2 linked regions of the Lonchura striata genome follow. The protein of the gene in region 1 purifies or fractionates together with the protein of each later gene. This does not show direct contact. Links are inferred from orthologs where the notes say so. Each region holds a gene or a part of one and is shown on either strand. Other genes may lie near its edges. The genes, in order: DERL1 and TMEM129.

Region 1 (7,469 bases):
ACACCTGAATGGTACAGATGTCTCAGACAATTAAAAAGTCATAATAGAAATATTCTTACCTGTTCCCATTCAAGTCAAAAACATATATATTCCCTTGGCGGTCTCCAGCGAGGAGAGAATCCCCAGAACTGTCAAAAACCACATTCAGAAAATGTATTGTCTTTGAATGGTACCCCTGGACACTGTGAATTATGTTCACTATAACTCTGTAAAGAAAAACAACCAGCAAAACAACCATGCTTAGAATAATTTTATTACCATTTATATCTGCAAGACATAGAAACATTTTAATCCTATCTTAGGATTTTACAATTCCGATTTTCCATGTTCTATGAAAGATCTCCCATGAAACCCATGTGTTTCTATATGAAAAGTATGCTACAAAGGAAGTAATTCACTGGGCTGGAAGGTGGGTAGGAGATATGTAAAGCAGATGGGGGAAGTTCACCATTCACAATCCTTTCACGTGGTTTCTGATTGCCCAATTTCCATCATTAATGAATAACACTGATGTATCTGAAAGCCCAATTCAACCCTCAGGAAGGAACCTGGCTCATCATTACCACTGCAAAGAAACGTTCTAGAAAACTGAGAAGCTGTGCAGTACTGTAAGAAACCAGTCTGTTTAGATATGGGGAAAATCAGTTTTAATATCACTTCTTTTCACAGTCTTAGAAAGTATTTGGATTGTTTAGCCTGGAAAAGAGAAGGCTCTGAGGTGACCTAATTGTGGCCTTCCAGTACCTGAAAGGAGCCTACAAGAAAGGTGGAGACTTTTTACAAAGGCCTGGAATGGCATGACAAGGATGAATGGCTTCAAACTGCAAGAGAGTAGGTTTACATTTTACATTAGACATTAGGAAAAAATTGTTTACTGTGAGGGTGAGATAATCAGGCTCCCTAGAGAAGTTCTGGATACTCCATCCTTTGAAGTGCTCAAGGCCAGGCTGGATGGTGTTCTGAGCAGCCTGGTCCAGTGGAAGGTGTCCATGGCAGGGGGCTTGCAACTAGATGACCTTTGAGGCCCTTTCCACTCCAAACCATTCTACAATTCTATGAATAAAGCCTTTTTTATTACTATTCATCTGTGCTATTACAGAACAGAATTTTCTAGTTTTCCACTTCTATCCTTATAAGGTACTGTCCACACAAACAGAGCCAGATGCAGAAATGAGCTGTAAGAGGAAGGTTTTTCCAGGAAGCAGGACATCGAGATTTGGAAGATCTACTATTCCTGGATTTATTGCCTACCACTGAACAGCCCAATCATTTTGTATTATCACTTGGATGTGAATTCACAGTTAAACTAAACACCAAAAGTGTGCCAGATATTGGCAGGCTGATTAAAGACTGCAGAGCACTTGCAGAATGCTCTGACCATGGTTGCATGAGATGCTGATAGCTCTCTGAGGCACAGAATATGCTACTCAGAATGCTCTGACCATGGTTGCATGAGATGCTGATAGTTCTCTGAGACACATAACTATGGTGCAGACTAGAGATAAAACTAATTGTACCTCACTGTTAAGCCCATTGTTTTCTTCAACAAAAGGGCCATAAAAATGAAATCGGAAAGATAAAATATTTTAAAGTGTAATTGAAATCTAGTGATGTTTGTGTGGGATTATGACATTAAAGATCCTGACAAATTAGTATGACTTCTGCTTCTAAAACTACTCTGAAACACAAGTACTTATCCCTGCAGCTACAGCACCTCCCAAGACCTTCTCAACATCACTCTCTGCCTCTCAAAAGTTTCCCTGCACCTATACTAAGCCAGGAGAACAGAGTTAGGAGTTCACGGGGCCTCTGGGGACAGAGACCTCCAAAGCATCATTTGTGTCGCTGCTCTTCAGCTTAGACCAGGCAGTATTTACACAGCATACCACACTGCGATTAATCTCTTTGAATTCTCCATGGCATTTTATCCAATACGCCTAAACAACTAGGGTAAGTGTCCAGCCAAGCTGCGCAGCCTGAGCGCGGGGGTTTCACAGCCTCCTTGGGGACCTGCTCCGCCTTCAAGAGGGATCTCATTAATACATGGAAGTATCACAAAGGCGCTGCCAAGAGATCGGTGCCAGACTCTTTTCGGTGGTGCCCAGCGACAGGAGGAGGAGCAATGGCCTTAAACGAAAACACAAAAGTTTCACCTCAGCAGGAGGAAGAACTTCACGCTGAGGATGGCAGGGCACCAAAGAGGCTGCCCAGGGCGGTCGTGGAGTGTCCCTCTCTGGAGCCATTCCAAGCCCGCCTGGACGCGCTCCTATGGAAGCTGCTCTAGGTGACCCTGCCTTGGCAGATCTCCAGAGGCCCCATCCAACCGCAGTGATTCCGCCACTCCAGGGGAACGTGCTCCTTTCGTTATGTAACCGGGTACCCCGGGTGCCCCTTCCCCCGCCCGCAGAGGCTCGGGTGGGCCCGGGCCGGCCCTGCCCGCCCGCCCGCTCCTCTCGGGCAGCCGCTCCCCCCGGCCCGGCCCCGTTACCCCCGCGCTGCGGCCGCCGCCGCCCGGCGGGTCCAGATGGGCCCGCGCCGCCGCTCGCCCACATCGCAGCGCTCCATCCCCGCCCGGCGCCGCCGCTCCCGCGCTGCCAGCAGGGCTCCGCCCACGCTCCGCGCCGGGGGGGCGCCGCTCGCGTGGTACAGCCCGCTCCCGCTTCACCAATGGGGAAGAGCCGGAAGGGTGGCGAGTGCTCCCCCCCCAGACATCAGGGAATGGAACCGCTCCACCTGCGGCCTCGCGGGCTGCTGGGAGTTGTAGTTTCCCTCGCGGGCGTCGCGCAGCGACCTGGGTGGGGACGGGAGAGCGGAGCGCGGCCAGCGCCGGGCAATGCAGTAAAAACGCCGCGTCCTCGCAGGCAAGTGCGTTTATAACGCAGTGCAATAGGTCACTCATAACATGGTTTTTCAGGCTGGCGCAGGACTTGTTCCCGGTTCCCTCCTGTTGCCCCCGCATTACAAGCGCCTTGCGGGGAAGGGAAGCCGGCTGACCCCACGGCCCGCCGCCCTCCAGCGCCGGCTCGCTCCCGCTCCGCCCCCGGGCGGGACCCCCGCTGCCGGGGCGGGGCCGGAAGCAGCGGCGGCGGCTCGGCCGAATTCGGTGGCGCCACGTCTGGCTCGGGGCCCCCTCCGTGAGCGGGCGGCAGGAGTGGCTGAGTCCTCGTCTCGCCTCTTCTTTTCTTCAGCGGCCGGTTCGTGGCGAAGCCTGGGCGGCGGCCGGGCGCGGCTGCGACATGTCGGACCTGGGGGACTGGTTCCGAAGCATCCCTCTGATCACGCGCTACTGGTTCGCCGGCTCCATCGCGGTGCCGCTCGTGGGCAAGCTGGGCCTCGTCAGCCCCGTCAACCTTTTCCTCTGGCCTGACGCCTTCATCCACCGCTTCCAGGTAAGGGCCGCACTACCGCTCCCGGCGTGCCCCGCGGCGCCCGCACAGTAGCTCACTATGACACACTTCGCGCGCAGCCTTCTGGGAGTTGTAGTGTACAGCCGCACTGCGGGGCCTCGCTGGGGCTACGCGCGGGGCCGGCCGCTGCCCCGGTTCCGCGGCCGCGCTGGAGGCACCGTGCACCGAGACAGCGGCCGGGGGTGAGCAGAGCTCCGCTGGCGAGAGTGGAGCCGCCGTCCCGCTCAGCCTGTACGGGGCCTGCGGGCAGAACACCGAGCAAATCCGGGCCCAGGCCCAAGGGCCGCCACCGCGGGGACGGGCTGCGCGTCCCTGCCAGGCTGGCAGAAGGAGGGAGGCTGCCCTGGCAGCGCTGTTGTTCGTCTTGTGCCTCATTCTGGTGTGGTTTTTCCTGCAGTTTTTGTGGGAGTTGTTCTGGTGGGCACTGGCTGTTTTACCTAGGAGCTCTGTGGCTGTGGCTGCAGGTGACTTGCCCAGCTCTGTGTCTTCGTGTGGCTGTGACTTTGGGAGCTGCAACTTCGGGCAAATCTCCCAGACTGCAGCTGGCCCGGGAGGTTTTTTGGCAGAGCTACAAGAGAGACATGGAGCTCCTGGGGTGGGTACAGTGCGGGGTAACAAAGGTGATCAAGGAACTGGAGCATCTCTGGTGAGGAATGGCTGAGGGAGCTGGGCCTGCTCAGCCGCGAGGAGAGAGGACTGAGAGGAGACCTCGGCAGTTTCTGTAAGTGTCAGAAGATGGACAAATGCAAATGGGCAAAATCTGATGCACGGGAAGTTGCACCTGACCTGGGTGGCCATGCACTGGAACAGACTGACCAGGGAGGCTGTGAAATCTCCCTTGCTGGAGTTATTCAAGAACTGTCTGAGTGCAATCCTGTGTCATGTGCTCAAGAATGTCTGCTTGAGCAGGGAGGTTGGCTCAGATCACTCACTGTGGTCCTTTTTAATGTGAGGTATTCTGTGATTCTGTAACAAAGTGCATTTACACATTCTGGTTTGGAATTTGAAAAAGCTTCTCTTAGGGTCTGACAACTTCTATGCTTAGATGTGGTCCATGTAAACTAATAACTGATGCCCTGAGGTGTCAGACATGCAGTGGTTTTCCTTGCACTGTGATATTACAGGTTTAGTGTTGGGGAGAGCACTCATTGGAGGAGCTCAAAACAAAAGAAGATAAAAGATTCCAATTTTTAGATTTCTGTTATCTCGTCTCATTATATCTTCACTGAAGAAAGAAAAAAAATTAAAGCCATGACTCTCTATGTATCTTGATTCATGTATTATTAGTAGCATAAATGACTGGTTTTTCCTCTAGTTCTGTTATTCCTTCTTGAACTGTGATGTTCAAGATCCTAATACCCAGTTTGGAAATGTTGCTGCTTTAAGAGCTCATTCATGAATGACCAGACATTTTCTGTCCTTGCTACGTGCTGCCATGCAGTTGGTTATGCCCAGTATTCATAGCTGGGAACTGTCCCAGAGAAGATCCCATATGCTCAGAGTAGCATGTGCTGTCTGGAATGGTACACTAAAGGCTGTGAATTCTTTGGCCTCTGTTCAGCAGAGAAGAATAGATTTTGTGTGGCTGTTTTTTTAACATGGTAGCATCCTTGCCAGTGAATCTTTTTTGCACTGCATTAAAGAGTCACTACTGCAAAGATGTGATGGAAAGCAGTTGTGTGATATTTCTGGTGTAGTCTTAATAGCTTTGCTTACCAAATTGAAAAAAAACACCACAACTAGAAAAGCTGCTGAAGCAGGACCAATCGATACTTGGGCTATTTTTAATCTTCTTCTTGATGTTTCAAGTTTTCATTCATTATCAAGTAATGAATGTAAATAAAAAGCCTGGGAACATGAGTTCTTTCTGCAGTTTGTAAATAAAGCTTTCTCTTTTGATCTTGACAGATCTGGCGGCCGATAACAGCAACCTTCTTCTTCCCAGTGGGACCTGGAACGGGATTTCTCTACTTGGTGAATTTGTATTTCTTGTATCAATATTCATCACGACTAGAAACAGGTATGTTGACCATTACATGCCCCTGGTGAAGTCTGCCTGGAGCTGATAAGAGATGGCTCATCTCTGTGCCAGCTTATATTAGTCAACGTGAAACTGCTCTGAAAACTGATTTTCTGTGGCTGGATCCTTCCCTTTGGCCATTTTGGATCTGAACTTGATACTTGTTTCAGTAGGAGGGCCTGGTGTTTTTAGTTGCTGGATTTAAGGAAGTGAGACAGATTAAAAGATGATGTTTACCTCTGTGGTTTTGTAGCTGATGTTTTTTATCAGAGAAGGATAATAGAGCATAATGTAATAATGGGCTTATCCATTGGGAGAAAATAACTTTCAGTTTTTTCTTGTTTTAATAGGGATGCTTATTTGTGTTATTCTGTTGTCTGTGTTGAATTGAGAGATACCTCCCTCAGAGAAGGTCTACCCCTCTGCCTAACAGATATGTGGAAAAGTTAAGGGACTAGGAGGATTTTCAGTTAAGGGGAAAAATTAAGTGAAGAAAAGGAGATCAGATAATAGATCATTTCTCTCAAACAGAGGGATTGTTGGTACAAGGTATCTTCAAAACTGGCTTCCTTTTGAGCTGCTCAGTTCGTTAAACCTAGACCAAAATTGGTTTAATTTACATAAATAATTAATATATTTACAAATCCAGACTCCTCTTGAAAGTCTTTGTGAACAAGAATTTCAGTATATTTCTAATGGAGTCTTAGAACTGATGGTGTAAAGGGGAATGCATTGGAAGGTGATGTTGGGAAGTCCCACAAGAGAGAAGAGATCCCTGCCACCCAGAGAGTATTGTGGAATCACATTTAAATCTTAAGAAGAGCGGTAAGGGAAAGCAGGAGTGGTGCCAGATTGTATTTGGTTATTTTCTTAGTGAAAGATAAATACTAGTTTAATGGTTAGAAATGGTTTCCTTTTGAGATTTTCTGCAGTAGTTTATGAGTACATGAGAGTGGTGGCAGTTCTGACTGGGCAAAGGTAGGTGTAATAAGCGTTCCTGGTTAATTATGCCGAATAAAAGACCTCGCTGCTTGTAGATATACTTACAAAATGCTCTAGTTGTCTGTGCTGTGGCACAAATTCCATGAAAGAGAGTAAATTTCTGCTGTACATCAGATCTGGATTTTGAAACTGGGAAGTCATCTGTATTGTTTGAACCAATGCATTTCTTTTATATTACAGTCATTTTTCTGGGTATAAAGGAAATCCTTGGTTAGGTTGGCCCTTTCTCTGAAATAGGCCTGAATCCTTCTGTAGTTGGAAGGTTTATAAGTTGTTGATACTGTTTACATGTGGAAGTCTGCGTTGGTCTGTGCCTCCTTTTGTCTGTGAAACTGAGAAAGTAGAACTTCTATTTTCAGCATTGTGCATGCTTTTTGAGCATACACTGCTGCTGTCTGCCACCTTCAAATTTAGCTGTCAGAAACATCTGTATGGTTTTGTGCTGTTTCCTAACAGGCTGACTTGTAACTTCCAAAGGAAAGGGAGATTGTTGTGTTTTTGTTTTGCTTTGGTTGGAGAAGAACATAACAAATATCAACAGAGTAAGCAGAATATGCAGAGCTCAGTCCCCAGCTGTATGACTGGTGAGATTATGGGTCTGCAGCTTTTCCCAGATGACTGGATTATACCCCGGCCACAGATCCATGGGGTAGAGCTCACTCCATACCTGTGCTGAGCTTTCTGGCAGTTTGTAGTCCAATTTCCTTAGATGTTTATTGAAAAGTCAACTTAAATGGTTTGTCTGATACTCTTGTTAGCAATCTCATAGATAATGAGAACAGAAAAAAATTAGAATAATAATAATAGCTTTGATTTCTTCCAGTTTTGGAAGGATTCCTGGGCTGGCATTTCTACAGCCTTAGTCAGCTTCTTCTCTTTATTTGCTTTTATTTGTTGTATGGCAGCAGTAAGGAAAAAACCTTCAGTTTCTGTAGTTTTACAACATTAACACTTTTCGGTATGTTTTTCAAAGTATGTTTTTTTCCTGTCGTGTAATTTGCAAGGCAAATTACAAAATTTGCATTTTAAACAATAAAACT
Region 2 (7,469 bases), on another chromosome or scaffold:
CCTTCTCCTGACTGCAGGGGAGAAGCAGCAAGGCCAAGGAAAGCTTTTCAGGAGGCTCATCCCTGCCCATCATGGCACCAAGAAATGTTTTCAGTCAAGAAAACAAACTCCAAAAGAAACCCCAAAAAAACCAAACCCAACCCCGCCTCAGTCCCTCTTTATGCCTGACTCATCCCAGGCTCCCCATCAACCCCACAGCATCCTAAAAACACAGAGATGCTCCCAAGATCTTCACCCCCACTTCAGTGGGGTGGAGCACCTGAGCTCCACCCTTGAGCTCCTGCCATTGCCCCCAAGTTCCTGCCTTCTCTTCAGCCTTAAATTGACAGAAATAGCCCCCAAATATCTTAATCTGAGGCTCACAGAAGTCCTAGACAAGGAGGTACCCCCGGTCCCACAGCATCCCAGGCGTGAATTTCGCAAAGGGGTCGTTAAACTCCCCAAGCACCCCAAGCTCGCTGAGGGGCCCTCAGCCAGCCCCCCCACCGAATTCAAACCACCCCAAGTCCAGAGGGGTCACCAAGCCTTCCCCCAAACTCACAGAGCAACCCCAGAGCTCCCCCGGCCCAGCATTCCAGGGTCACTGAAAGGTGCCCAAACCCTCCTCCAACCCCAGGCTCGCAGAGCGGCCCCCGAGCCTCCAATCTCACAAAGGGCCCCGGCACAGCCCCTCCCGGCCCACACTGCCTTACAGAGCCAGAACCTCCCCTCCCCCGGTCACAAAGGGCTCACCGAGCCTCCCGCCGCACCCAATCCCACAAAGGGGAACCTGAACACCCCAGCCCCACACCGCCTTACAGCGGGGTCCCCAAAGCCCCCCGTACCTGGCGGCGGGTCCCGGGACGAGCCCGAGGGGCGCTCGGCTGAGACGGCGCACGCAGCCCCCAGCGCCAACCGCAGCCCTGCGCCGCCGCCTCACGATTTCAAACCCAACGGAAGCCCCGGCCCGCCAATGAGGGACCGGCGTTCGGGGCGCGCCCGCCAATCAGGAGAGCGTCCTGCGGGAGGGGGCGGGGACAGCGCCACGCGTGACCGTTGCGCCCCGCGCAGTCAGCCCCCGCGCGGCAGAGCGGGCGGTGCAGGCGCGGCTCCGCCCGGACAAACTGCCCCGGCTGCGCGATGTCCCCGCGTCCCCACCACAGCCCCGGCGGCGCGATGTCCCCGTGTCCCCACGCACTGCCCCGGCGGCGCAATGTCCCCGTGTCCCCACCACAGCCCCGGCTGCGCGATGTCCCCGTGTCCCCACCACAGCCCCGCCGGCGCAATGTCCCCGTGTCCCCACCACAGCCCCGGCTGCGCAATGTCCCCGTGTCCCCACGCACTGCCCCGGCTGCGCAATGTCCCCGCGTCCCCACCACAGCCCCGGCTGCGCAATGTCCCCGTGTCCCCACCACAGCCCCGGCTGCGGAGGCTGCCCCACCCCCGGCAGCGTGGGGCTCTCAGCAACCTGGGCTAGTGGAGGGTGTCCTTGCCCATGACACCCTTATTGGAATGAGATGAGCTTTAAGGTACCTTCCAACCCAAACGTTTCTATATGATTCTACAGTCTCAGCTGTTCTGCTTCATGCTTTTGCATGAAATCACAGAAGGAAAACTTGATGCTTCAACAGGCCTTTTTTTATTACTGGACTTCACGCACATTTAAACAGTCCTTACTGTTGAGTCACCAGACAACAACAATGAAATTACTGTTAATAAAGTTGTTAACAAGGTTGTCTTTTAGAATGAAATAAGATGCACAGAATCTAAGCATGATTTTACTTATGTAACCATCCTCAAGAGTCATTAAACCACCATTAATTCCCGATCTCCACCACAGCAGCTGCACATCAGTCATCTGGCAGCGCTAGGATGTCACACTCCATGGGTGGTATCTACTATTGACTTGGTTTGCCATCATTAGTAGCATATAACATCACATAATGCTTTCTCTGCCATGTTTTTCCAGTTATACAATCTCGCCCTTCTCTAAAAGAGAGAAATGTGGACGTTTTGGGTTATAACAGGCTGCATGCAGTTTTCCTAGGTTCCCTAAGAAACAGGCTATTAGCTATTGTTTGTACTTCAATAGGAACAAGATATTCCAGTCAGGCCTCTCCCTCTACTGTGTCTGGGGGTGTACGAAGATACCTTGAAACATGCCTCCCTTTAGGGGATTTTGAGATGCTACATCCTTGTCTTACTAGAAAATATTAGAAAGCATTACATAAAATACACAAGGACAAGGAGAAGCAAAGAGAAGCTTTTCCCGACGCTTAAGTAAAACAGGCCATTCTCTGCTTCAGAAAGACGCTGCCCTCATCCAACAGAGGTCTTTTCCATGCATAAAGAACTGGAATCGGTTGCTTCTGCCAGGCCTGTGGAGCATGACCTCGAGGGCGGACAATGCCTGGGGCCGCGGGCAGGGGCTGCGCGTCCCGGCCGGGCTGGGCGGGCACGGGGTGCGGGCGAGGTCCGGCTCCGGCTGGAAAGGGAACGTGGCTCGGCGCTCGGGGCCGGGCAGGCGCGGAGGGGCGGAGGGGAGGGAGGAGATGGACGGAGGGGCGGAGGGGAGGGAGGAGATGGATGGAGGGGCGGGGACCATCCGTGCAGGGGGAGGCGGGTCCCGCCCGGGCGGCCCCGCCAGCCCGGCAGCGCCCGCGCCGCGCATCCGGGGGTGCGGCGGGAGCTGCCGCTGGAGCGGGGGGAGCTGCCGCTGGAGCATCCGGGGCTGCCGGGGAACTGCCGCTGGAGCATCCGGGGCTGCGGGGGAACTACCGCTGGAGCGGCGGGAAGCACCGCTCCCCGCTGGAGCATCCGGGGTGCGGCGGGAACTACCGCTCCCGGGGACCCCGGCGCCCCACGGGGCGCAGCATGGAGAGCCCCGCGGTGACCTTCACGCTGGCCTACCTGGTGTTCGCCGTGTGCTTCGTGTTCCCGCCCGACGAGGTGCGCTCGGCGGGGCTGACGGTGCAGAGCCTGCTGTCCGCCTGGCTGGGCAGCGAGGACGCGGCCTTCGTGCAGTACCACCTGCGGCGCAGCACCGGCACGCTGCTGGCGCACTCCCTGCTGCCCCTCGGTGAGTCGCGCTCGGCTCCCCTGGAGTGAGCACCCCGAGCGCGGTAACCAGCGGGCTGCACCGCAGCACACGCACTCACAAAGGAATTGCAGTTTAAGTACGGACTGGGGAGTGAGGGGCTGGAGGGCAGTGCCAGGGAAAGGGACCTGGGGCTCCTGGCCAGTGGAAAGTGGAAGCTGAGCCAGCAGTGCCCCGGCAGCCAGGAGGGACATCCCTGTCCTGGGGCAGCAGGCCCAGCATGGCCAGCCCGGCAAGGGAGGGGATTGTCCCGCTCTGCTCGGGCTGGGCGGCCTCACCTCCAGTGCTGGGGCAGCTCTGGGGGCCACAATGTCAGAAAAACATTAAACTATCAGAGAGTTTCCAGAGGAGAGCAACAAAGATGGTGAAGGATCTTGAGGGAAGGTGTGTGAGGAGAGGCTGAGGGCACCTGGTCTGCTCAGCCTGGAGGAGACTGAGGGGAGACCTCAGTGCAGTTACAAATTCCTGAGAGGGGAAGAGGAGGGACAGACACTGATCTCTGCTCTGTGGTGACAGTGACAAGACCCAAGGAATGGCCTGAAGCAGTGTCAGGGGTGGTTTGTATTGGATATTAGAAAAAGGTTCTTCCCCCAGAGGGTGGCTGGGCACTGAACAGGCTCCCCAGGGGCTTGGTCACACCTGCCTGTTGGCGTTCAAGGAGTGTTTGGACAATGCTCTCATGCACATGGTGTTACTCTTGGGGTGTCCTGTGCAAGGCTGAGTGTTGGACTTGATAATCCTTGTGAGTCCCTTCCAGTGCATCATCTTCTGTGAGTCTGTGATTTAACAAAGGAATGCAAATTGGCTTCCTTTAGCCATATAAGTCTCCTAAAACTAAGTAGCATCTCACAGGTAATTTTATTCAACAACCAAATTCAGATCACTTTCCTTCAGGTATATAATTCTGGTAAAAATCATTGATACCTAAGAATTTAATTCAGCTTGCTTGCGACCAGAGGCTTGAATTTCAAGTCATCCAGAAATGCAATAATACCTCTTCTGGAGGTGAGCTCACTGGGTAGATAACCATATGATTCAGGGGTATCTGCTTTTACACGTACTTAATTGTTTTCTGAAAGTAAGTTTTTTTTTCCTTGCAGGTTATTACCTTGGTATGTGCTTTGCTGCACCTGAAAAACATCTTTGTTTTTTCTACCTGGCTTCAAAAGAGTGGAAAACTTTCTTCTTCTTCGCCGCTCTCCTCCCAGCAATCACCAGTGCCCTGGCATATTACTGGTCACGGAAAGGTTGGAATAATCATCCGCTAGCCCGGACACTCGCTGTTCACGCCCTCCCGCAGTCAGGCTGGAGGGCAGTAGCTTCTTCCATCAACACAGAATTTAGGAGAATTGACAAATTCGCTACCGGAGCGCCAGGAGCGAGGGTGATTGTTACGGACACGTGGGTGATTAAAGTGACCACCTACTGTTTACATGTTGCTCAGCAGCAGGACATTCACTTGACAGTGACAGACTCCAGACAGCACGAGCTCACGCCAGACTCCAACGTGCCTGTGCAGTTCCTCACCATCCGAGTTGCCAGCGTTAATCCCTACATCAAGGCATTCGATATCCGGTAAAACAACTGCTAAACCTGTTACGTTACATGTGTGCTGTTTGATGGTGCTGAGGGAGCATTTTTGTGACCAATCTGGAGATTCCCTGGTCTCATCCCTTCCTTTCTGGTCCCTGCCTGGTGTTCAGGGCTGCTGTATGTGCAGTTCTGCCATGAAGTGCAGGGAAGGTTGTTTGGAAAGCTTCATACACGTACAACACTGAATACACAACAGATAAACAAAGGGATTAGCCTCTTTGATCCATTCTTAGGGAGAGGATTGTGCTGGATGCAGAAAGAAGTAACTGGATAAAATTAGGTCAGAGATGGAGAAGAGGAATGAAAGGTAGAATTTTTGGTCTTCTAAATTTTGAGTGAGGAGAAATAGCTATTTGTCTAAAACTGTCTGTTGTTTGTCCACGACTTTGGATTTTAACTTGTGCTTAAGGGTCATAATATCATCGCTGCTCAGAAGTGCTCTCCCTGAGTGACTGCAAGCCAACTGCTCCTAAAACAAGGAAGAAATTTTGGTCCCTTTCTGACTTACGTGTTCTCATAGCAGTAGATCATAACAATTGTGAACTGTTAGGGCTCATTTTGCAAAGGCCTATGCTGTTTATCTCATTGGTCTCTGTGTAACCAGGCTAAAGTACAAGTTCAGCAGAAACCTCTGAGTAGAAGGGTTCTAAAGTCTTTGTTGTTGTGTTGTTAAAAGCCATCTTAGTGCTCCTAAAACTGTATTTGAAAAGGTGTCTTTTTGCTGTACATTTGTTTGTCAGGAGCATTTATTAGGTAATTAAAAGCATCCAGGTAGGTGTGCAAGTGAGACAAGCACAAGGAAAGCAAAGAGGTGATTATGGTAGAGATCCAGGTGAACAGAACTCAGAACAAGAGGTTGCTTAAGGTAAGCATGACAATACTAAGAAAAGAGACTCTTATAGACCTGTGACAGTGATGACCAAATTAGTATTAAACAACTAATGATTTTCTTCTGCAAGCACTTCAGTGCCAGAGTACACCCCAGCTGAGAAAATAATTACTTGTTTGGCAATTCCTTTTATGGAAAAAAAGTCCTAAGCCCAAACTATATTTTGTGACTAAGCAGAATAGCATCAAGAACAGTGTTTAAAAGCTGCTCTAATAAGATGTCTGTGATAGTTAATCTCTGTTAGAATGTAGCAGAATCATACAGGATCATTGTATATATCCAGAATCAGAATCAAATGCAGTGAGATATTTCTGGAGGAAAAATGCTTTTGTGCAGGTGGGCCACATTTCTCTGCATGTTCAGTGTGAATTATTCCTCTGGATATAAATGTTTCTGATTTGTATGGACAGCATCTGTTCAATGACATTATCCTGTAGCAGTAAAAACAATGGAGACCACCGAGAGCTAGAGCTAAGCCAGCCTTGCATTGTGCTGGGCTCTGGGAACTCGGACAGTGGTAGGAAAATTAGGGCAGTCTTCCAGGGACTTCATGAAAGCTGTTTAATGAGTGGAAGCATTGAGCTGGAGAGTTCTGACACTACAGTTCAGAACTCTTATGGTCAAAAGGGATGACAGCAGGGATGTATCACTGTAGGATCTGTGTGAGGTGTCAGGTGCCACTTGAGTGCTGTGGATATCACTTAAATTTAATTTACAGAAGCAGCTGGTGTGAAACACAGCTTGCTGCAGCCTTGAATCAGCAGTGGTTTGTGACCTTTGTGAAATTTCTGGGATTATGTTATGATACAGTCTAAAACTGTATTGTAAAACCACAGAACCTGATTGTCATTCCTCTACTACTTCTGTAGTACTGTATAACCTTGTGATGCCTGCTGCATGGTATAATTGCTCCTAACTAAATTCCTCAGGAGTTTATAATTGAGAATTTAGAAATTGTCTAAGTAAACAGGCATTAAAAAGGTGACAGAATGGTGCAAACAGCACTTTGCAGTTAATGTATGGTTTATATACCTATATTGCTTTTGTTCATACTGATTACTTCAAAAGCCTGTATTTCTGTATGATGTTTTAGCTGATTTCTGACATACCCTGCTGGCAATCTTACACAGATACGAATGAGGACAGCGTGTTCTGTTGACTAAGTTGTGCCAAAACCAGTAAGTAAACAGCAGAAGAAAACAAGAAAACAAATGCAATTCCGTGTATTTATTCTGACTAATAAGTACCAGCTTTTCTGTGGATTCACTTCAGTTAACCTCTGCAAGGTACTATCAAGGTATTTGGGTGGATAATCATGGTAACATTTTGCTCCATCTTCTCTTCTTCAGGTTGAACTCCACAGAGTATGGGGAGCTCCGGGAGAAGCTCCGTGCTCCTATCAGCAATGCAGCTAATGTTGTGATCCATCAAAGCCTTAGTGATTTATTTTTAGAAACCTTTACATCTCTGGTGGAAATAAACCAGACATACCATGTTCCAAGCACTCAGGTGAAACTTTCTATCCATGTGAGACTGTAACAATTGTACTTTCAAAATAGATGAGCCTGTGATTACTGTGTAAATGATAAATTTTTACCTAGGGCTATCTCCGGTGAATTATTAAGAGAATGTATTGTTGTGAGGTTAGCAAAAAGGTTTTATTAAAAATATGGATTAAATATCAAGTTATTATTAAATTATAATAATCATGTATTTACTGCTTAATAATCCTCATTTAATAATTAAGCAGTATTCAGTCAGTAATTAAATGGTAATTGAACAGCAGTTAAGCACCCTACTACTCGTTACACTTCTAATAATTCAGCTAGCTTGCATCCAATATGTTTTAGATCTAATATAAACTTACCTTACTTACTTACTGTAGGTAACAGATATCAAGTAAGGGATCTC

What was found.
Region 2: the proteins of DERL1 (region 1) and TMEM129 purify together in Homo sapiens (affinity purification with western blotting; 3 studies listed by BioGRID). This does not show direct contact. The link is inferred for Lonchura striata from reciprocal best matches to the Homo sapiens genes DERL1 and TMEM129.

What each region holds. Positions count from the first base shown.
Region 1 is NC_134603.1:12,682,661-12,690,129, forward strand, and holds the start of DERL1 (derlin-1), read left to right. Parts: upstream 1-3,044; 5' UTR 3,045-3,236; coding exon 3,237-3,389; intron 3,390-5,315; coding exon 5,316-5,427; intron 5,428-7,469. Other genes in the region: TBC1D31 (TBC1 domain family member 31), read right to left, coding at 60-206, 2,489-2,565. UniProt on the Homo sapiens protein: Functional component of endoplasmic reticulum-associated degradation (ERAD) for misfolded lumenal proteins. Forms homotetramers which encircle a large channel traversing the endoplasmic reticulum (ER) membrane.
Region 2 is NC_134606.1:7,703,729-7,711,197, reverse strand, and holds the start of TMEM129 (E3 ubiquitin-protein ligase TM129), read left to right. Parts: upstream 1-2,663; 5' UTR 2,664-2,853; coding exon 2,854-3,058; intron 3,059-4,176; coding exon 4,177-4,651; intron 4,652-6,907; coding exon 6,908-7,067; intron 7,068-7,469.